3 linked regions of the Astyanax mexicanus genome follow. The protein of the gene in region 1 interacts with the protein of each later gene in a pairwise test. Links are inferred from orthologs where the notes say so. Each region holds a gene or a part of one and is shown on either strand. Other genes may lie near its edges.

Region 1 (7,895 bases):
AATTTACAGATTGTACCTGCTCCATACGGCCTGCTGCCACCAGACTTTATGTTCAGATTGACCGGTGTTGCCCCGTATGTCCTGAAAAAGACACCACAGCTTTAAATACAGCACTTATTACAGCATTACTACAAAAACATCCAATCAAAAGAGCAAAAAACATAATGAAATTACTGCAATAACTGAAAAAGTAACTTTTCAATTAAATTATTTTTTTTTTTAGATGCACCTGTCCAACTCCATACAATGGAGTATGTTGGTCTTCTCCCAGATGACAGGTTCTCTACAGTAACACAGAACACATCATACTCACGTGTACTGCGGTGCGCCTGTCTTGATGTCACCGATGGTAACACGGACGTCATCGTCGTCATCATCACTGTCACTTTCACTATCCTCATCGTCTCCAGGAGCTTCCTCCTAAAAAAAGCCACAGAACTGATCATTTACACACCAGTACCTACACAAAACTGACTACTACATGTATGACATGGCAACCGCATCAATCGTATAGCTATGACTCTATTCTAAATACTGTAATTGTATGAGTGGTAACTCAGTCCCTAAGTTTATTATAATAACTTAAATGTACTCTTACCTGACTAGCCACTCCATTGCCGGCAGGGACTTCCTCAGTAACAGGAGCGGCAGGTGGAGCACTGTAAAAAGTAGATGATCATTTAGTGCTGGGCGGTATAAGCAGAAATTAGGAGTACATATAATATAGAAGAATAATGCTTTAAATTTTCATAAACTCTTTAAATGGTCTTAAAATGCTCAAAATGTAAGTAATCAAAGAGATATTTCTCAAAAGCTCTATTGCACAAGTAAAACACAAATTTAATATCAATGTACTATGTGTTATTCTTGAAGCCATTAGAGGCATTACAGTATTAATAGTGAATATTTGCTGTAGTTTTTTAATTTTACTCAGATTAAACACCCATACAGTGAGAAACAGCAGCAGGTGCTCCTTAGATAAAGTGCTGTTCTCATTTTTCTCTGGGCAGGACGGAGCTACTATTACTCAAGTGTGTTAAGTTGTTGTCCTAACTGGCTAGCGTTAGGTAGCTAGCTGTATCTGCTTCTTTGGTGGTGGTGCTGCTCTACACAGCGATTCTCTAGCGGTCTGGCGGTACATAAAAAAATCCATACCGGTTTTAATTTCTGGTACGCGTTTTAATTGACCGGTATACCGCCCAGCACTACTATCATTGATACAAATCAAACTACTCCAGATCCACCAAGTACAAACTACAACAGTTATAGTGTAACCAGAATCAAACTAGACCAGTTTCAATGTGAACAGAATCAAACTAGACCAGTTACAGTGTGAACAGATCTAATGTATGTATAATACCTGATTGCTGCGGTCAGTTTGGCCGCCACCTCCTCCTCCTCATTTTCTTTGGTTTCTCCTTCATCTGGATAAACACCAACAAGTCAATATTAAACAGTACATTTTTATATATAACATGATTTTATGCTTTTAAGAAGGTATAAATGCAAACTAACTTAAATTACAATATACAGTAATATTTCTGTAGAATAACGTCTAGAAGTCATAATTAACCCAGAACCCAGAACTCTGTTTAGTTTTGCAATACTGAGACACAACTGTATTTGATCAAATACAAAAAAAACAACAGTTCTAGTGTAAATACTTAAGCAAGGTCTATTTGTTTTGTTTTATATCCATATATTTTCTTTCTAGAGAAATTAAGTATTTCTTCCAGAAAATGTTTATTTTCATTCATGTGCATTGGAACAAAAGTAAAAATTAATTAAATATTACAAAACTTCAAGAATATTCAGGACTATTTGGCTACCACTCTCACCTACTGTGAGGAGTGAGTGTTTGAGTGTTTGTTAGGAGGGAGTGTAAGTGAGTGGATAAGTGTTCGTGCAGAGTGAGTGTTTGTGAGTAGAGTGAGTGAGTGTGAGTAGAGTGAGTGTTTGTGAGTAGAGTGAGTGTTTGTGAGTAGAGTGAGTGTTTGTGAGTAGAGTGAGTGTTTGTGAGTAGAGTGAGTGTTTGTGAGTAGAGTGAGTGTTTGTGAGTAGAGTGAGTGTTCCTGCAGAGTGTCCGTACAGAGTGAGTGTTAGTGAGTAGAGTGAGTGTCCGTGCAAAGCGAGTGTATGTGCAGAGTCAGCCAGTGTGATGAGTGAGTGTTTGAATGTTAGAAGGGAGTGCTAGTAAGGGAGTGCTAGTGAGTGAGTGTTACTTAGGAGGGAGTGCTTTGGAGGGAGTGTTATTGAGTTTTAGGGAGTGAATAAGTGTTAGTGAGGAATGAGTGTTATGGAGTGAATAAGTTTTAGTGAGGAGTGAGTGCTTTGGAGTGTTATGGAGTAAGTGTTACTGAGTGTTAGGGAGTGAATAAGTATTAGTGAGGAAGGAGTGTTTGAATATTAGGGAGAGAGTGTTATGGAGCGAATATGTGCTAGTGGGGAGTACGTTTTTGGAGTGTTATGGAGTGAGTGTTACTGAGTGTTAGGGAGTGAATAAGTGTTAGTGAGGACGGAGTGTGAGAGGATGGTGTGGCTGAATGTTAGGAGGGAGTGTTTATGAGGTGTGAATGAATGTTACGGAGTGAGTGTTTGAATGTTATGGAGTGAGTGTTTGAATGTTATGGAGTGTTCAGGAGTGAGTGTTGAGGAGAGAGTGTTATGGCGTGTTGAGGAGTAAGTGTTTTAATATTATGGGGTGTTTTGGAGTGTTCAGTAGTCAGTGTTGGTGTTCAGTATTGAGCTCACCTCCGTACAGCCATTCCTCCTCCTCGTCCCCCGCCGCCGCGCTCACCTCCTGCCCGGCCGCTTTCTCCGCCTCTTCCGCGGACATCTCAGCTCTGCTCAACCCGCCGAACCGCCCAGACCGCGCAGCCTCACCCGAACACCTCAACCACACTGGAACCGGATCAGAGAAGACCAGAAACCGGATTGGAGGAGGCCAAAACCGGATTAAACGGGGGAACCGATCCGTCTTACCCCGCACACTAACCGGAGGAAGACTGCTGCCCTTTGAATACGCAACTTCCGCTCTGTGTGACATAATAAAAGTCCATTTGCTAAAAACAATCGATGCTTCTTTGTTTTGTTTTTTTTTCATGCCTCTATTTATTACATTAATATTAGATTGGGGAGTGAAAAAATATAATAAATGGCACTAATGTTTTTTTTCTATTATCATTCCTGCAGAGCCACAAATATTAGGTTTAAAAACCGTGACTGATTGTAAAGCTCCATAATTACGTTTAAGGGAACTGTTGAGTACATTATCCGAATCATTTTTGTACCAAATACTATCCAACAAATCTAAACAGAAACAGTAATAGACCAATTTTGCGAATCATATATCCAACAACATAAAAAACAAAAAAATAAATAAAAACAAAATAAAAAATTGTGGGATTTAAACTAAATTTAAAAGCTTCAATGGATTTATGACTTCTTATTTTTTATTCGTTTTATTTTTTAATTATTTAAATTTACGATATGTATATAACTATATAGACCCAAATAAACAAATGCTTGGAATGAAGGTATTTTGGGGCAATTTCAATTTGTGCGTATCTTATTTACCTAAGATTATAACCAAATGTATTATAAATCTCTCCTTGTGGTCAAATAGGGGTTATCAAAAATATACAATATACAGATGTCTCAAGTCTCATGAAAGTCGGAAAAAATAAGAGATGGACAAAATAATGAAAAAGGTTCAGTTCTTTCAAACCTTAAATAATAATGCAAAGAAAATAATCATCATCTTCATAACGATTTAAGAGTTCAGAAATCAATATTTGGTGGAATAACCCTGGTTTTTAATCACCAGTTTTTATGCTTCTTGGAATGTTCTCCTCCACCAGTCTTACACACTGCTTTTGGATAGTTTTAGGCCACTCCTGGTGCAAAAATTCAAGCAGTTCAGCTTGGTTTGATGGCTTGTGATCATCCATCTTCCTCTTGATTATATTCCAGAGGATTTCAATTTGGTAAAATCAAAGATATTTTCATATTTTTTAAGCGGTCTCTTATTTTTTGCAGAGCAATAGCCAAATTATAAAGTTCTGTTATCCTTTGGTGTGTGCGTGAGTTCTTTTTTTTTAGACAGGGGAGGGGGTGATTTAAGTCCAGGTCGAGGATAACCTCTCTGAAATTAATTTTTGTAAATTGGGTCACTTCTATATTGTAATGTATTGTAATGTGATTTGATGTAAATATCCTCGCTTAGAGCGAACCCAGAGCTTGTACTCGACTTTTATTTTGAAATAAGTTTATTTAAGGAATGGAGCTGGGCGGAAGTGATCTGATCTGTCGCTAAGTGGTTGTGGTAGGGAGCGCCGCTCCGTTGTTGTGGTGTTGAGCTGGGTTGAGCTCGTGTCTCTAGACACGGGTGTATTTCGTTTCTCGGAGGGTTTATTTTGTTAAATAGCGCCTGCGGGGCGTTTAGAGGCGCAGACTTTAATCCGGCGCGATGGTGGCGGCGCTGAGCAGCGGGTGAGCGGCGGACAGGAGGCGGTGGGTGAGCGGAGGAGCGGCGACGGAGCGGCGACGGAGCGGCGGCTCGGCTCCAGCGGATCTCTCGGAGAGACGCAGCGCGCGGTAAAGATGTCCGGGAAGCACTTTAACGTGCACGAGGTCGGGTGCTGCATTAAATACTTCATCTTCGGGTTCAACATCATCTTCTGGGTGAGAGAGCGGCGCGCGGTGTTACTGTCTCCCCCCCCCCCGCGCGCACTGTCAGTCTGTCAGCCCGGTCCCTCAGCTCCAGAGCTCGCAGAGCTCCCGGGTTCATCGGGTCCAGGGCTTCAGTCAGAATGAGGATCTGGATCTGGTTTTAGCTTAAAATCACACAAATACTTACAAAATTCACAAACCAGACAATCTCTAACTCTGTCTTTACTGAAACAAACTCAGATATGTTAAAATGCCATGTTTAAAATGCAGTTTTAAATCTTTGCCCCCTACAGATTTTTTTTACATACCAATTTTTTTTTTTCAGATTATCAAACAAACTTTAATATCAGACAAAAAAATGAGCAAATATAAAATTGGCTGACTTAAAACATTTCTACAAAGTTAATATGTCCTTTGCACAGTGTAAATATTAATACAATTATTAACATTTTTTTCAGTGTAATAATAGCAGTAATAACTGTTATTTGTATTGGTGACTAATTATAATAACAACATGATTTATTTTTTATTAGCTTAGATTAGCGCTATTTTGCAACGTTATTATTATTATCATTATTATTATGATAATATTCTTTATAATTTATCATATATGCATGTTACTGTACATATTTGAAGTATATAAATATATATATTTATATACTTCAAATATGTAGTATATGTAGTTAACTATTTTATATATATATATATATATATATATATATATATATATATATATATATATATATATATAAAATAAATCATTTGCAATGTGTTTGTTCACTCATTATAACTGATGCTGAATCTCTCCTCAGCTGCTGGGGGTGGCGTTCTTGTCCGTGGCTTTATGGGCATGGAGCGAAAAGGTACACACACACACACAGACACACACACACACATAGACACACAGTATTACACACAGAGTGATCTATTTTAAGCGTTTATTTATTTTATTGTTGATGATTATGGCTTACAGTCAATGAAAACCCAAAAATCCAATAACAATAAGACCAATTGTTATTTTTGGCAGTGTGCCAAGTCCTGCTGGAAAATGAAAACCACATCTCCTTAAAAGTTGTCTGCAGAGGGCAGTTCATATGAGTGAGGAGAGGGTTAATTGGCTTTCAATATTGGGCAGAAAATGAGACAAAATGACTCTCTCACCTCACTCGTTCTCTCTCTCGCTCTCTTTTTCTCTCTTTCTCTCAGGGAGTTCTCTCGAACATCTCCTCCATCACTGATCTGGGAGGGTTCGACCCTGTCTGGCTGTTTCTGGTGGTTGGAGGGGTGATGTTTGTGTTGGGGTTCGCCGGCTGCATCGGAGCGCTGCGGGAAAACTCCTTCCTGCTCAAGTTTGTGAGTCTGTTTCCTGTGTTTTTGTGTACAGTGGACAATACAAATGTAGAATTTCAGGACATTTGCCAGAGAACAAATAGGCAGACCCCTGGACATAATAAACAATCAATTTTAGGACTGTTGGAGAATATTTTACTTATCTTTTTTATCCTGGTTTAGGGGTGAACAATGCAATATTATCACGGTATATTTTCCACGATAACGAAGATTTCACAATACTGTGATTCTCAGTATATTTAAAGACAATTCTCTATGATATTTCACAACATCTTTTGGTGTCGGTTTCATAAAATTTAGCAACCAATATTCCTTACTGCAGGTTTAGACTATTCGTTTGATCTTAGCGCCACCACATGGAGTAATATGTAGTTTGACTTTACTAAGTCAAACTAGCGGACTAGTCTTAGGAAGTTTAAAGGGCCTATGTTTCAATACAAATATCGGTATTTGATGCCACATATTGATCATATCAATAATGAACCTGCATATCGCAATACCATTGTATTCGTTAGAGAGGATTTTGGAGGAGTCTGTCCAATTTAAATATTATTTCGGATCACCTATTAATCTGGACAGACTACTCCAAAATCCTTCTTCGAATGTTGAAACTGGGGGAAACGCCAAAGTGAACAAAACTGTAATTTTTATAAAAAAAAAAAAAAAAGACTTTTCGTTTGAAGTCAAACGAGTGCTGGATGTTAATCTATACAGATTTCTTTCCTTAAAGCTGTTTATTTGGGTGAGTAAAGCGTTTCCGTTTATTAACAGTAAGTTTAGACTTTCAAAATTAGTATAAGGGAGAGTTTTCAGTGAAGCTTCTCCAGCACTAAGGCTGGGTGCAGCGGCACTAGCGTTAGCCGCTAACCGCAGTGCTAGCAGGTTTTAAATACTGCCGGTTCGTCCCACATAGCTTGTTTTAACATGGCAAACACGCAGACTACACTCCAATATACTCGCCTCTGAACTGCGAAAGAGCTAGCACTGCGGTTTAGCGGCTAATGCTAAAGCTGCTGCACTCAGCCTTAGTGCTGGAGAAACTTTATACTCTGAGAAACTATGTGCTCTGTGCTTATAACGCTGCACTTCAGCAGAGGTGCTTTACTGCTCCTTAATACCTAAATAGTAAAATGTATACATAAGGTGCACCGGATTATAAGGCACACTGTCCATTAGATTTTTTGGGAAAATAAAAGGAATTTAAGTGAGCCTTATAGTGCGAAAAATATGGCAAACCTAAGCAAAAGTTTTTCATAGGGTTTACTGGCTTTTCATGACTGTTATTCAGATTCTTTCCTTCATTTTCTTAACATTTTTTTCTTCGCCTCCTCCAGTTTTCCGTATTCCTGGGGATAATATTTTTCCTGGAGCTGACCACTGGAGTTCTGGCCTTCGTCTTTAAAGACTGGATCAAGGACCAGCTCAAGTTCTTCATCAACAACAACATCAGAGCCTACAGAGATGACATCGACCTGCAGAACCTCATAGATTTTACACAGGAATACGTAAGAATATGCTTATTCATGGGGCATATTTTTGTTATTAGGGATGCACAGAACATTCACCAATCAAATTTGTTCGGCCAAAAATGGCAAAATAAATGTACCAAATAGTTTTTACTATACAAATTATGTTTAGTGGAGAAATCAGAAGGAAATACATTTAGTTTTGTTATTTATGCAATGCTAAAAAAAGTGGTAAAATTAATGAAGAGCTGCTAAAAGAAAAAAAATATTACTAATTATAATGGGATTACATGGGATTACATTGCACTGCTATTACATATAAATACTGTCAATCATCCCAATCGATGATACAAAACCTCATATCTCCAAAGCAGCAAGTTGATAGGAGAAGGAACTCTTATGTCTTTG
Region 2 (7,229 bases), on another chromosome or scaffold:
CTAAAGCTAACTGTACTACTACTGCTGCTGTTCGGGGTTTGTTTGTTTAACTTCTTAACTTTGTCTTTGTTTAACTACTGTTTAAAGAACGTTTATAGATAATGTTACATACAATCGGCGATATTCAACCCTTTCAGACCCTATATCCATTGTTGTCCTTCAGAATAGACCATGAACGAGATTATAAAGCAATGAAACAGTAGCTTGGCCCCATCCACTGCAGACTAGAAAAACAGTGGTTCTAAAGCCAATGAGTGAAAGTAACAGCTAGTTTTTAGTAATTTGATGTGATTTACACCAATATTTAACCATGTTCTTTTTGGTTTATGAAATAAAAAAATAAATGTTACACACGTTTTAGATTTTAGTTAATTGAATTTATTTGCTATGCAGCTTCTATTGTAAAATATTAGAGCTTTCTTTTCTGTGTATTACAGCATTCTTATATATTTTTTTTCCATCACTGGAGATAATTCAGGTCCGAAAGGGCTAAAGAACTGCAAGTAAAGGAAAATGATTCTGGTGATGGTTCTGGGCACTTATGGTGACATAATGTAATATATATATATATATATATATATATATATATATATATATATATATATATATATATGTGTATATATATATATGTGTATATATATATATATATATATATATATATATATATATATATATATATATATGAAAAAACCATGTGGAGCATTTTCATCTCATTTTATCTTATTCTCACACCAAAGTTGTGGTCATGCTTCAGGCTCTCATTCCCACATCTTAAAAAGTTGTGGCCATGCTTTATTCTTTTTTGCATGATGTCACTTTAGGTGCAAAGGAAAAAATAAATAAATCGAATACAGAAAGGGGGGGGGGGGGGGTGGGGTTATCTGTTAATCTCTTGTTCCCTCATTTTAGGTTACTGCCTTCAATTCATCCTGAACATGCTGCTAAACATTTTGCCTTCAATCCACAGCTGAAACTGAGCCTCATGAGGGAAAACGTAAAGTGGAGTCTCTGTGGCCGATTTTCAGACTTCACCACCAGCGGAGCCGCTATATCTTCGACCTGTTCTACAAAAGAAAGGCCATCAGTAGAGGTGAGTTCAGTATAGATATCCAGTTTACCAATTTATAGTCCCGGTATAATTATAATGATATTATGATACTTTCCTTTGTGTCACTAGTTAATAACAGTCTGGTATTACAGTTAACAGTAGCAAACCTCTTCATAGACAATAGATAAATAATATGTGCATACCCTCTCATTCAATGTTTTTATTTAATTTATTGATTTATTATTATTTTGCTTACATTGTAAATTAATACCGAAGTCATCCAAAGGAAGGAACACACAAGGAATCATATGGTAGACGTAAGTGTTTAAAAAAAAAAAAAACAATGAACCAAAATACAATTTTATCATGATATTTTTGGTGGTCTTTGCAACTGCACTGGTGATACTTTCAAAGTAAAAAAATCAGTGACTTTGATTTCTAAAAGTGTTTTTTTCTTTGCCTAGTTGAGTATTTCTTGCCATAGGATGGATTAGAACATTACTCAAATAGCGCTATTCACTGTTTATCAACTCTACCTCTTCACAACTTTACAACTGATGCTTTCAAACACATTAATTCAAGTAATTAACTTTTAAGTTCAGCACAGCTGTTAACTGAAAGCCGTCCCAGGTGACTCTACCTCATAAAGAGAAAATCCAACAAAGATGTGTAAATCGGTCATTTAAACAAGGTGGTACTTTGAAGAATCTAAAATATAAAACATATTCTGGTTTGTTTAACACTTTAGTGTACCAAATCTTTCATGTTTTTCTTTATAGTTTGGATGACTTTAGAATTAATCTACAATGCAGAACATTTTTAAATAATGAAAAAATCCTGAATTGATTTTGACTATTTGACTGAACTGATTTGACCAGCAATGTACATACATAGATACATGCATAGATACTTTATTGATCCTGAAATAAATGTAGCAGCCAGTACCATTGACACAAAACGGCACACAACAATAAGGGTGGTGCAGTATAACAAAATGAGTACAATTATTAGCTCTAGATGGTATAGCTATACATCTCACTTGTTGCAATAAGGCACGAACAAATTACAAATTACAATTATTAGCTTATTATGAACAGTGCGGGAATATAAACAAGAAAAATACTGCCTCCAAATATACACGTGTAGACAATAAATAGAAAATATGTTAAAATATGCATTCGAATCTTACTGGAACTAAACAGACACTGCAGTGATAAGTAAAACAATGTGCAAGAGGTCTAGGTATCGGCAGATAAAGGGAATACTGGATAAAAATATGCATATATTGTAAAGTGGCTAGTGTTCAGGAGTGCAGGTGTACAGTAAAGTGTCAATAGTGCAGATAAAAAAAACGTATGATTAGCAGTACACTAAAAGGTTATATATTGATGTTGAAGTAAAAGTGTTTCTGTATTGTGTGCCCAGAGCTGTATGAATACTGCATAAGAGAGGGATACGCCGACAAAAACCTCATAGCAAAGTGGAAGAAACAGGGCTACGAAAACCTCTGCTGCCTTCGCTGCATTCAGACACGTGACACCAACTTCGGCACAAACTGCATATGTCGAGTTCCTAAAGGAAAACTCGAAGTGGTAAGTTAGTACGGTACAATTTTGATGTTGCTTTTAATGAGCTGCTGATTTTAGTTTTCATGTCATTAATATCCCTTTTACTATTATAAACCAACATCATGTTTAATAAAGCCTACAGCCCATTTCTAATAGTCTAATAGATTTCTCAATTTATTCCAAACAGGGTCGGATCATTGAGTGCACTCACTGTGGGTGCAGAGGATGCTCCGGATAATCAAGGGCTTGTATTTCATTTCTGGGATGTTGGGGCTCAAAACATTTTGATTTCTTTGATTTTAAAAGTGTCTGCTTGCTTTCATTCCGGATTGTCTGTAAGTGAATGTAGAAATGTTCATCATTTGTGTATTTTGTGAAAATGTCATTTTTATTCAAATTACCTTCAAAAACCTTTAAAATGTGCTCTTTACTTTGTTCATTTTGTAAAATAAAATCCTTGTTGTAAATGTTTGTGCTTTTTTTGTAACATTTTATAAAGAATTACATATACTGTTGAATTGTCAATTACATGAACATTTAACTATTTACCAGTCATCAGTACAATGAAACATGAATACAAAATACATTAATTAACTTCTATAGGAACTGTCTTTTTTAAAATGTCAGCATGAAGATTAAAGTTTAGAAAAAAATTTATATAAATTCATAATTTTCCATCTTATTATAACTACTTCCAGCATAATGATGAACCATGCCATAAGGAAAAGTCTTTCTAACTGGTTTAGTGGACAAGACAATACGTTCTGTGTTGTTATGTGGCTCTCTAGTGGGGGTTAAATTTATTTTTGCTGGTCATCTGATTGGAATCCATCAGCATCTCTGTGTTTGGTAAAACAGGAGATCCCCAGCATGAATGTATTCCTAAAGAATCAAAATGCAAAAGGACACAATATGATGTTTTTTTAAAAGTAAAAATTTTAAAGCACAGGAATTAACGTTATTTTCTATTTGATTTTAACATATTAAACACATTTACCATTTACTTTTTGCACAGGCAACATTTAATGTTTTGTAGTATGTCAAAGCAGCAGTAGCAGATTATTTTCCTTTTAAAAATATAAAATATAAAGAAATCTATTTTCAATTCAGTTTTATTGTCAATACTGCACATGTACAGAACATACAGAGGATTGAAATACATTACTCTTCTTCCCAAAGCTACAAGTACAGCAATATAAAAATTTAGACATAAAAGAATAGTATATATATAGCTAACGATTTTTTAATTCATTAATATTTTCTTTATTTTACTTACTTAACTAAAAACGTGGTTTATAAGGTCAAATCGCTTTTTTGGAAAAAGACTTTTGTGCTGCTTTGGTTTAAACAACGTGGATCTTGGGGTCCGTCCCAAACCACACTCTCTTAAGATTCTCTAAGCTGCTTAATGTTCTATACTAGTCGGTGCACTTCTAGGGGTGGTGCACTACTTATATAGGCTATGTAGTGCAGCTGTGTGCGGTTTAGGACAGACCCTACGTCTGTTACTGCTGCTTCCGTTAAAAGCGTTCATTGGACTGTTTAATCAATAACAGAGTATTTGGTTGGGCTATATTGCGACTGTATGGTATCCCAGCATATACATGATTTATATTAGCAAATCAAGACCCTCTTAAATACACTGTAAATTGTTTTTTTGTTGATAAAATCTTATAGAAGTGCGGTTGTTGGCGACCCGGTTCTCTGGGTTGTGCTGGGGTTGATTGAGCGGCCTGGCGGAGGAGCGGGGCTGTGAGTGTGCGCGGAGGGAGCGGAGCGAGGGGCGCTGCTGTGTTTATTAGTTAGCGGAATATTCTGATAGATAATCGCTATGGTTTATTAAACTGCTGCTCCTGAAGGAGGATTTAGGAGTTTTTACATGTTGTAGCGCTTGGTGGCTTTGGTTTAACTCCTATATCACACAGCCTTGTTGTTAAATTTGGTAGGTTTTTGCCTAGCAAGCTACGTGTAGCGTTTAGCCAGTTAGCAGGAGCTGCAGGGCTGTGTATGGGGGAGACTGTAAGTGCTGTAAGTTTGTTAAAAAGCACAAGAAAAGAGATTAAACATGCAGGAATTAATCGCCAACGTTGATCACCTCAAGTTTGATCTGGAGATCGCTGTGGAGCAGCAGCTCGGCGCTCAGCCCTTACCGTTTCCAGGGATGGACAGTAAGTTCACTGAGCCAGTTAAACAACAACGCTCAGTTCACCTGATAACTCAAGTTCAACCCCTGTCATTTACCTGCTCCCCCTCCACAGCTATATACTCTACAGCTATAGCGCATTATACTGTTATATATATTCTACACCTATATACTCTACAGCTATAGCACATTATACTGTTATATATATATTCTACACCTATATAATCTGCAGCTATAGCACATTATACTGTTATATATATTCTACACCTATATACTCTACAGCTATAGCGCATTATACTGTTATATATATTCTACACCTATATACTCTACAGCTATAGCACATTATACTGTTATATATATATTCTACACCTATATAATCTGCAGCTATAGCACATTATACTGTTATATATATTCTACACCTATATACTCTACAGCTGTAGCACATTTATACTGTTATAGACTCCAGGCCCTTACCTGCTTGCCTTCTACAGCTATATACCCAACAGTTTTAGCACATTTTACTGTTATATACTCTACACCTATATACTCTACAGCTATAGCATCTTTTACTTTTATATATTTTACAGCTATAGCACATTTATACTGTTATACACTCTACACCTAAAGTTATATACTCCAGTCCCTAACCTGCTTGCCCTCTACAACTATATACCCGACAGCTTTAGCACATTTTACTGTTATATACTCTACACCTATATACTCTACAGCTATAGCAGCTTTTACTTTTATATATTCTACAGCTATAGCAGCTTTTACTTTTATGTACTCTACACCTATATACTCTATAGCTATAGCAGCTTTTACTGTTATAGAATCTACACCTATATACTCCTGTCATTTAAATGCTCCCTCTCTACATCTAAATATTCTACAGCTAGAGCAGCTTTAACTGTTATATACTCTACACATATACAGTGAACTCATCTGTCCTTTACCTGCTCCCTCTCTACAGCTGTATACCAAACAGTTATAGCAGCTTTTATGGTTATATACTGTATAGCTATATACTCCTGTCCTTTACCTGCTTTCTCTCTACAGCTATAGCACATTATACTGTTATATACTTTACACATATATACTCCTGTCCTTTACGTGCTCCATTTACAGCTATAAAAGATTTTACTCTTATGTACACTACAGCTTTAGTAGATTTACTCATATATATTCTACAGTTTAGCAAATTTACTCTAAGATACAGATAGAGGATTATATATACCCACCAGCTATTTACTCTACAGCTATAGCCGGTTTCATACTTGTATATTTTACAGTAATATACACTGCAGCTAAAGCAGTCTGTGAAGCAATATACTGCAAAACTATAGTAGGATTAATAGCTATATACTTTGCCCAAATATGTACTCTACAGATTTATGTATGTGTATTTTATACTCCACAGCCAAACCAGTTTTATTGGTTTACCTCTCTGTCTACCTGTCTGATTGTGTATATAGTTTTGTTCTACTGTAACTCTGTGTTTCTCTGTACAGAGTCCGGTGCCGCTGTGTGTGAATTTTTCATGAAAGCTGCTTGTCTGAAAGGTAAGTGGTAGTTTATTTATAAAAATAACCCAAAAGCTTTTTTGGGGCAGCTTGGACATAATTAATCTGTGTTACTTTTGCAGGTGGAATGTGTCCTTTTCGGCACATCAGTGGAGAAAAGACAGTTGTGTGTAAACACTGGCTGCGAGGTTTATGCAAGAAAGGGGACCAGTGTGAATTTTTACATGAGTATGACATGACGAAGATGCCAGAGTGCTATTTCTACTCCAAATTTGGTAAAAAAAAAATCTTAACATATGGTTACTTGAAAATGTACTCACAAATTGTTTTTTTGTTGTAGCACATTTATACTGTTATACACTCTACACCTATATACCCGACAGCTTTAGCATGTTTTACTGTTATATACTCTACACCTATATACTCTACAGCTATAGCAGCTTTTACTTTTATAAACTCTGCACCTATATACTCTATAGCTATAGCAGCTTTTACTGTTATAGAATCTACACCTAAATACTACTGTCATTTAAAAGCTTTAAAAGCAGTCTGTTTATAAGAAAGTATGATGATGAGGCTATGATACAGATTTAATCTGGGCTTTTATGGATATATGTTTTAGCTTATGTGATTTGTTATTGTTTTGAAATGTGTTATTTATATTTGACAGGTGAGTGCAGTAATAAAGAATGCCCCTTCTTGCACATTGACCCAGAATCTAAGATTAAAGACTGTCCATGGTATGATCGGGGATTCTGCAAACATGGTAAGTCTGTGTACTCTAGTGGACATACATCAGGGGGTCCCGGAGGTTCAGTGTTTGGCACAGTTTGTGATTCTCCTTCTCAATCACAGATGATTTATCTTGTGTCTTAATGCCAATCTATGTTGTATGTTAATGTCATCTACATGTTGTGTGTGTGGAGGTTTCTATACAAAATTGACCT
Region 3 (7,349 bases), on another chromosome or scaffold:
CTGATTTTATAGATTTATACCTCGTGTGTGAATTTAATTTAATGTAATTTGTAGGGCTGGCCCGAATAGCGTTTTTTGAGCTCCGGATATTCGGCACTGATTCGAAGCGAATATTCGAATATTCGTTTTTAAAAAAAGAGGTAAAACAAATAAATAAAAAAAAAGCAAATCACGGCCCCTTTAATCCACTGAAAAATGTTCAATTTGCTCTGACCGACGAGACCCCGGATTTTTGGTGTTTTTATCCCCCATATTTTTGTGTTTTCACCCCATATTTTTTCTGTGTTTTTAGCCCAGATTTCATTGTGTTTTCATCCCGGAATTTCTGCTGCCCCACACCGCGGCTTATCCGCTGCGTAAGCAGGCTAGGAGGCTGCTGCTGCACGGTTTCTCCGCTGCGCAAGCCAGCCCAGTAAATTGCTGTTTGTGTTTTCACACTTAGGCTATTTGCTTAAAAAAACAAACAAAAAAAACGTTTGTTCAGGAAGTATTTTATATTCTTAAACATTGTTAATTATATTAGAGGACAGTCATTGTAAACTGTACTTGGTCTATTTCGGTTAAAGGATTGTGCAGGGCATATTACTGATTTTGTATTTTTGCACTTGGGCTATAAGCTCAATATTAAATATTTTGTTTGTTTAGAAATTATTTTATATTTTTAAACCATGTTAAATTATATTAGAGTAGAGGAAAGTCATTGTTAATGACGTTATTGTACTTGGTCTATTTCGGTTTAAGCATTGTGCAGGGCATAGCCGTATTACTGATTTTGTATTTTTGCACTTGGGCTATAAGCTCAATATTAAATATTTCGTTTGCTTAGAAATTATTTTATATTTTTAAACCATTTTAAATTATATTAGATAAGAGGAAATTCGTTCAGACATCATTTTTGTAGGCCAGGCTTTTGTAACCGATTTAGCCCCTACTGTTGCCACATTACCTCTTACGTTTTATTATATAAATCAGTTTCGAAGAGCCTGCATTTTTTTTTATCATGTATAATAGAGGTCTGCGCGAGACTGATTTTTAAACCCACTCTTCCACGCTCCCGCGTTTCTGTCTCGTTACCGCTCCGCAAAAAAATTGCTTCTTTTAATCCCGCGCCCGCCCGCCACATACACATTTCTGCCGCTCCCGCCCCACGTTCCTAATATAAATTAAATAAACTACATTTAATGCTTCAAATCTACTTATATATTTATTAAAACAGCAGCGCTGAATAGTGTGGTCCCGTTCCTTACCCCAGTCCAAACACCATCGGTGTGTGCGTGTGTGTGTCGGTCCATCCTGCGCGTTGAGAGTTTTCTTTAGGTTTTTTTTTTTTTTTTACAATTATTACAGTTTTCTTAACTATTTATTAATTTGCTCCCGCATCGTCTGGATTAAACCCCCGCTCCAGCCAATAACAGTTCAGCTCTGTCCCGCGCGCAAGATATTCTGACGGGACCCGCGAAAACAGAAGTGGTTAGAGTGAGGTGGAACTCTGGAAAGGAGAAAAAAAACGAATATCCGAATACCAAAATTAAAAACCGAATACCTACTCAACGAACGAATATCCGAATACCCGAATATTCGGGTCCAGCCCTAGTAATTTGAACATTTTTTTGTCTGTTTGTGATTGGTTTATGTGTATCGTGTGTGATACTACATAAAGAAAATGAGTTCCAGTCCTAAAATAGCTTTGCCAGTTTGTTTAAGTAATTTTATGGGATGCAATAGATAATAAAAAATAAAAGGGAAAAATAAATCAAAGTTCAAAAGTTTTCAAAGAGAAGCTCCAGAGTTCAACCTTGACTACTGTCTTCTGCTCAGTGTTTTATACCAAATCTATCAGATCTCAGCACACAGTTCTACTAAACACGTGTGAGAGTTAAGCTTCTAGGTCGCCTTACCCTCTTACAGCAGCCTGTTTTAAAATTAAAACCGGCTCTGTGTGTTTTTGTCCATTAAACTTGCACAGACAGCACTCTGGAACTCACACACATCTCCAATAGACAACAAATCACTGATTTAATATACAGAAACTATACTGATTCCACTGAAAAGGCCTTAAAGGAGAACTCTGGTGTAAAATAGAATTTTGTTGTAGTAAAACATGATAAAAAGTACTTATCTTTGATGAATAGCACACCTCCGTTCTCCCACAGCGTTCTGAGATCCAGAAATTTTAACAGTTTGTCCAAACACCCTTTAGACTGGGTGATCAGGGGCATAATTTGCCCCGATAACTCGCTTTTTACACCGTTATCCAGCTCAAAGTAGCTCCACACCTCCTTGCTAGAATCCAGAGAGCCCTGACATTTGAAACGAGACATTAATAACTTAAAAAGTGCACAAGAAGCTAATTAAAAACTTTTATAAAGCTTTTAGCTCTGAGCGCCTCCATCACTGTACTGATAAACATAGATATACATAGACTCCACATAGCATAGCAGCCAGCGCCATTGGGCAGGCTATGCGAAGTCTATGTGTGTATATATATATACAGTATATATATATATATATATATATATATATATATATATATATATATATATATATATATATATATATATATATATATATTTATGTTATTAGCGCAGATGGATTCTTACCCATGGTTAAATATGAATCACCCAAAGAAAAGGAACCAGAGATCATGCTAATACTGGATAAATACTGGATAATATATTGATTATGCTAAATTGCTAATTGATTCAGGTAAAATACCGATTATTCATTTAATTGACAATTGAACATAATAAACTATAAAAAACTCCATATTCTTTTAAATTGATCTAGTGGTATTTTCTAATCTTTAACATTTTTTTTTTTTTTTTTGAAGAATATATTTTCAGAACCTGTTGAGTTGTGACGGATCTCTGTTCAGTGAAAAAATAAAATTTAGTTGTAATATTTTAAGGGTTGTTTGTTTGTGTGTCATTGAGTTTGTTATCAAGTCTGTCCACCCATTCAGAATTTATGTAATATACTTCATGAAAATACATTTTAAATATACTTTCACTGTATTTCCATAAATGTATTTTAAGCAAATATATGTAGTGACATTAAAAACCGATTAAACACTGCGTTACTTAAATCTTCTTAAGTTTGTAGAAGCTTTTATGTTGTATTTAAATATAGCTTAATTACAACTAACATATACTTAAGTTGCCGTAAGTACAATTAGTATGTATTTAAGTACTTTTCCATGTTAACCATACTTTAAAAAAATACCAACTTAAAATGCACTTTTCTTTTACAAGGGTAAGTGCATTTTTCTTGCAAATAAAAGTAACATATCTGCTATTTATTTATTAAAATATAGATTAAACATATTATATTGTGGAAATATATTGTAAGGCACTTAACACATATAAAACACGTAAACACCTCTTGCAGCTCTGCTGAATCATGACTAACCTTCACCCTTCATCTTATAAGATAAGAAAAGATTCTTTATTCATCCCACAGCGGGGAAATTTGCAACATTACAGCAGTGCAAAGGACAGAACAGAGGTGTCAGAAAAAATACAACAGTATAACACACAAAAATACAAGAAAACATAACTATACTGAAAAATATATATATATCTAAAATCTGGTTCTCCAGTGTGTATATTCTACAATAACCAGTGATCACAGTTATTGTACACAGGCTGACATAAATAAATGGCAAATAAATAGTACATAATTGGTGGTATTGCACATATTATTGGTGAATTTAGCTATTGCACATGGTAATTAAACAGTTTTATTGCACATAGTAAGAAAAAGTGCAAATAGTGAACTGCTGTTTACTGAGCGCAGCACCTGTTATACAGTCTGACATGTATATCATATGATACGATCACTATTATGATTTTATTTTTATTTTATTATATGTTTAAAATAAAAACACTTCAAATATCAAAATGTTTGTGTTCAGCAAACAACAACAAACTAAAACTAAAATATGAACAGCAAAATGATTTGTCCCACTAAAAACCATTACAGCCTTAAAACTATTTGTTACATGACAATCAGACTAGCTATACATAAGTTTTTTACACACCTTTTCTCATTCAATGTGTTTTCTTAGGGTTTGTTTAAATTATTTTTTACATTGTAATTTTAATATTAAAGACTATATTAAAGCTATACAGGAACATGCAAAATTAATGTGGAGGACTAAACACATTTTTACTGTTTACTACGTAGTTTAATATGTGTCTCTTAATTGTTTTCATGTCTTTAATATTAATCTAAAATATAGAATTAAATGAAAATATTTAATTTAATATGTTTATTCTGGGTGCTGCAGTTCCGCTGCCTGCCTGTAGGGGGGAGTAAAGAGCGCGCGTGTCCGGTTCAGCTCCGCTTCCGGTTTCGGTTTCCCCTCTGTTTGGGGAGAGAGAGGTTTAATTTGTTTGTTTGTCGGTCTGTCTGTCTGTCTGCTTTTTTGTCTGTCTATCTGTCTGTCTGTCTGTCTGTTGGAAATGAATGGGGATGAAAGCGGAGAGAGTAACCCGGAGCCGGAGGAGTTTATAGCGTTAGAGGACTTTACCGGCAGCGGAGCAGAGCAGGTCTGTTACACCAGCCTCACAATTCCACCTTAAATATCTAACGCTAGCTAATGTTGCGTCTCAGCCTGTTCCACCTTAAATAGTTAGTTATAGGGACAGTTTTCCAGAGAGGGGTTCAAAGTAGTCTGGGAAAATGTTCCCTAATGTTTATATCTGGTCCTTTTCCACCTTAAATAACTAGTTAATGTTTTTTTATGTGAGACTGTTCCACCTTAAATATAACTATTGATTGTAATTGAGGCTGTAATAAAATCTGTCTTAGCGTTTCGCGTTTCTCTTTCGCGTTAAATATCTAGCTATGTTTAGCTAGCTAATCTGAAGCTTTTCCACCTTAACTGATGTTTTTTAATCTGAGACTGTTCCCCCTTAAATAGTTATGGGGCAGTTTCCATGGAGGGGTTCAGTTCAATCTGGTAACCTTTTCCACCTTAACTTACTAACGTTTATATCTGAAACTGTTCCACCTTAAAAATCTAATTAATGTTTACATCTGGAGCTTTTCCACCTTAACTGACTAACTAAATTGTTTTATACGAAACTGTTCCACCTTAAAATGTAACTAATGTTTATATCAGAAGCTTTTCCACCTTAACTAATGTTTATATCTGAAGCTTTCCCACTTTAAATAATGTTTATATCTGAGACTGTTCCACCCTAAATGACGCTATATGTCTTAGACTGTTCCACAGTTTGAGACTGTTTCACCTTAAATATCTAAATAATATTTATATCTGAATCTTTTGTGAGGCTTCCACCTTAAATATCTAGCGAATGTTTATAACTCAGACTGTTCTACCATAAATATCTATATAATATTTACATCTGTGGATTTTCCACACTAATTAATGCTTATATCCTGACTGTTCCACCTTAAATATCTATTTACCATTTACATCTGAAGCTTTTGCACAGTAATTAACGTTTATATATAAACGGTTCCACCTGAAGTATCTATATAATATTTATATCTGAATATTTTGTGACGCCTCCACCTTAAATATCTAGCGAATTTTAATATATCTCAGACTGTTCCACCTTAAATATCTATATAATATTTATATCTGAAGCGTTTCCACACTAAATAATAGACTTTTATGTATACTGTTCCACCTTAAATATCGACACAATATTTATATCTGAAGCGTTTCCACACTAAATAATAGACTTTTATGTATACTGTTCCACCTTAAATATCTATACAATATTTATATCTGAAGCTTTTCCACACTAACTAATTAATGCTTAATCTAGGCTGTTCCCCCTTTAATATCTAGCTAATGTTTACGTCTGAAGCTTTTTCACATTAACTAAATATTTGAGACTCTTCCACCTTAAAAAATCTACCCCAATATTTCCAAAGGTATTTAGACAACACTTCATATGGGTGTGCTCAACTACTAATTTTAGGTGTTCTGAATGTGTGAAAGTGTTACTCTGACTCTGGATCTCCTCACAGCTCAGTTTTGCAGTTGGAGACCGGATCCTGATCCATGATCAGAGCTGTGCTGATTGGTGGTGGGCGGAGGTGGAGGGCCGTTATGGGTATGTACCCTCCGGCTACCTGCACCACCCGGATGCTGAGGTGGAGGACGGCTGGCAGGATGAGGAGTATTTTGGAAGTTATGGAACTTTGGTAAGTGTTTGACTTTTGGGGAGTGTCCTGTTTTATTATGGTGTTTGGTATTAAAGTGATAGTTTGGTAAGAAATCATTTTACCATTAAACAATATGGCTGCCTTAAAGTTGTGTTGGAAATATCGTATTTACGAGAAAAGCACACATGATCTTCTCCACCGACTTGAATTTAACTGTAGGAAACTCATTGCAGTCTATTTTATAAAGATGTACATTAAATCACACATAAAGGAATCATTTGCGTACATGCTGCTGATACTTAAGATATATATATTTTATTTTAGCCAGTGCCCTAATTTCCGACTGTTACTGTATATGGTTATTCTTTGTATGTCCTCGATTATTTATTTATTCTTCTTTTACAATGACACTTTAAGAACAACCTTAAATTTGGTAAAACGCTCAATCTGAAGGAACTTTAAAACTGAGAAATTTCTTTAAAATAAAGAAGAATGTAAAAATTTCACAAAAACAACGTTTTTTAGGACAAAAATTCGTCCTAAAGGTGAAAGTGTCATAAACTGAATTGTACAATCCAGGAATGTTAAAGAATCGTCTCCACAGAGCTCTCCAGACTTCCTCTGAACGTTATCTGTGTTTTCGGCCAATTCTGCCTCCCTGTTTTGTGTCTATAGAAACTTCACCTGGAGATGCTGTCGGACAGACCACGTACAGAGACGTACCGGCAGGTCATCCTGAGCAACAGCACCGCCCTGAGGGGGAAAGTGGTGATGGATCTGGGCTGCGGCACCGGCATCATCAGTCTGTTCTGTGGGCGTCTAGCAGAACCTGCAGCGGTAAATACGTACACAGCAGGACATTAACACACAGGAACGTTATCAGAAATCAATATTTGGTGGAATAATAAACTGTTTTTATTCACAGTTTTCATGCATCTTGGCATGTTCTCCTCCACCAGTCTTACACACTGCTTTTGGATAACTTGCCTTTATTCCTGGTGCAAAAAATTAAGCAGTTCAGTTTGGTTTGATTGCTTGTGATCGTCCATAAACGTAGCAAAACAAAACAAAACAAAAAGCCCATTATATTATTTTTCCTCTGTCTGATCACAGTTTTATCATCACTTTTATGATAAACACAATAGATAATAATTATAAGAGAATAATATATAATATAATAATAATAATAATATATATTCATATAT

Evidence for each region.
Region 2: the proteins of fip1l1b (region 1) and cpsf4 interact in binary tests that used the Homo sapiens proteins (3 or more experiments, as listed by UniProt). The two-hybrid records come from large-scale screens. The link is inferred for Astyanax mexicanus from reciprocal best matches to the Homo sapiens genes FIP1L1 and CPSF4.
Region 3: the proteins of fip1l1b (region 1) and prmt2 interact in a two-hybrid assay, tested with the Homo sapiens proteins (2 studies listed by BioGRID and IntAct). The link is inferred for Astyanax mexicanus from reciprocal best matches to the Homo sapiens genes FIP1L1 and PRMT2.

The regions. Positions count from the first base shown.
Region 1 is NC_064432.1:5,939,737-5,947,631, forward strand, and holds the start of fip1l1b (pre-mRNA 3'-end-processing factor FIP1), read right to left. Parts: upstream 3,026-7,895; 5' UTR 2,837-3,025; coding exon 2,752-2,836; intron 1,425-2,751; coding exon 1,361-1,424; intron 660-1,360; coding exon 599-659; intron 421-598; coding exon 314-420; intron 82-313; coding exon 17-81; intron 1-16. Other genes in the region: tspan5b (tetraspanin-5), read left to right, coding at 4,603-4,683, 5,484-5,534, 5,878-6,024, 7,356-7,526.
Region 2 is NC_064410.1:54,223,827-54,231,055, forward strand, and holds the start of cpsf4 (cleavage and polyadenylation specificity factor subunit 4), read left to right. Parts: upstream 1-4,131; 5' UTR 4,132-4,681; coding exon 4,682-4,784; intron 4,785-6,270; coding exon 6,271-6,321; intron 6,322-6,404; coding exon 6,405-6,557; intron 6,558-6,952; coding exon 6,953-7,048; intron 7,049-7,229. Other genes in the region: protein BUD31 homolog, read left to right, coding at 968-1,090, 2,474-2,640, 2,804-2,854. UniProt on the Homo sapiens protein: Component of the cleavage and polyadenylation specificity factor (CPSF) complex that play a key role in pre-mRNA 3'-end formation, recognizing the AAUAAA signal sequence and interacting with poly(A) polymerase and other factors to bring about cleavage and poly(A) addition.
Region 3 is NC_064418.1:45,908,460-45,915,808, forward strand, and holds the start of prmt2 (protein arginine N-methyltransferase 2), read left to right. Parts: upstream 1-4,329; 5' UTR 4,330-4,463; coding exon 4,464-4,550; intron 4,551-6,006; coding exon 6,007-6,183; intron 6,184-6,819; coding exon 6,820-6,981; intron 6,982-7,349. UniProt on the Homo sapiens protein: Arginine methyltransferase that methylates the guanidino nitrogens of arginyl residues in proteins such as STAT3, FBL, histone H4. Acts as a coactivator (with NCOA2) of the androgen receptor (AR)-mediated transactivation.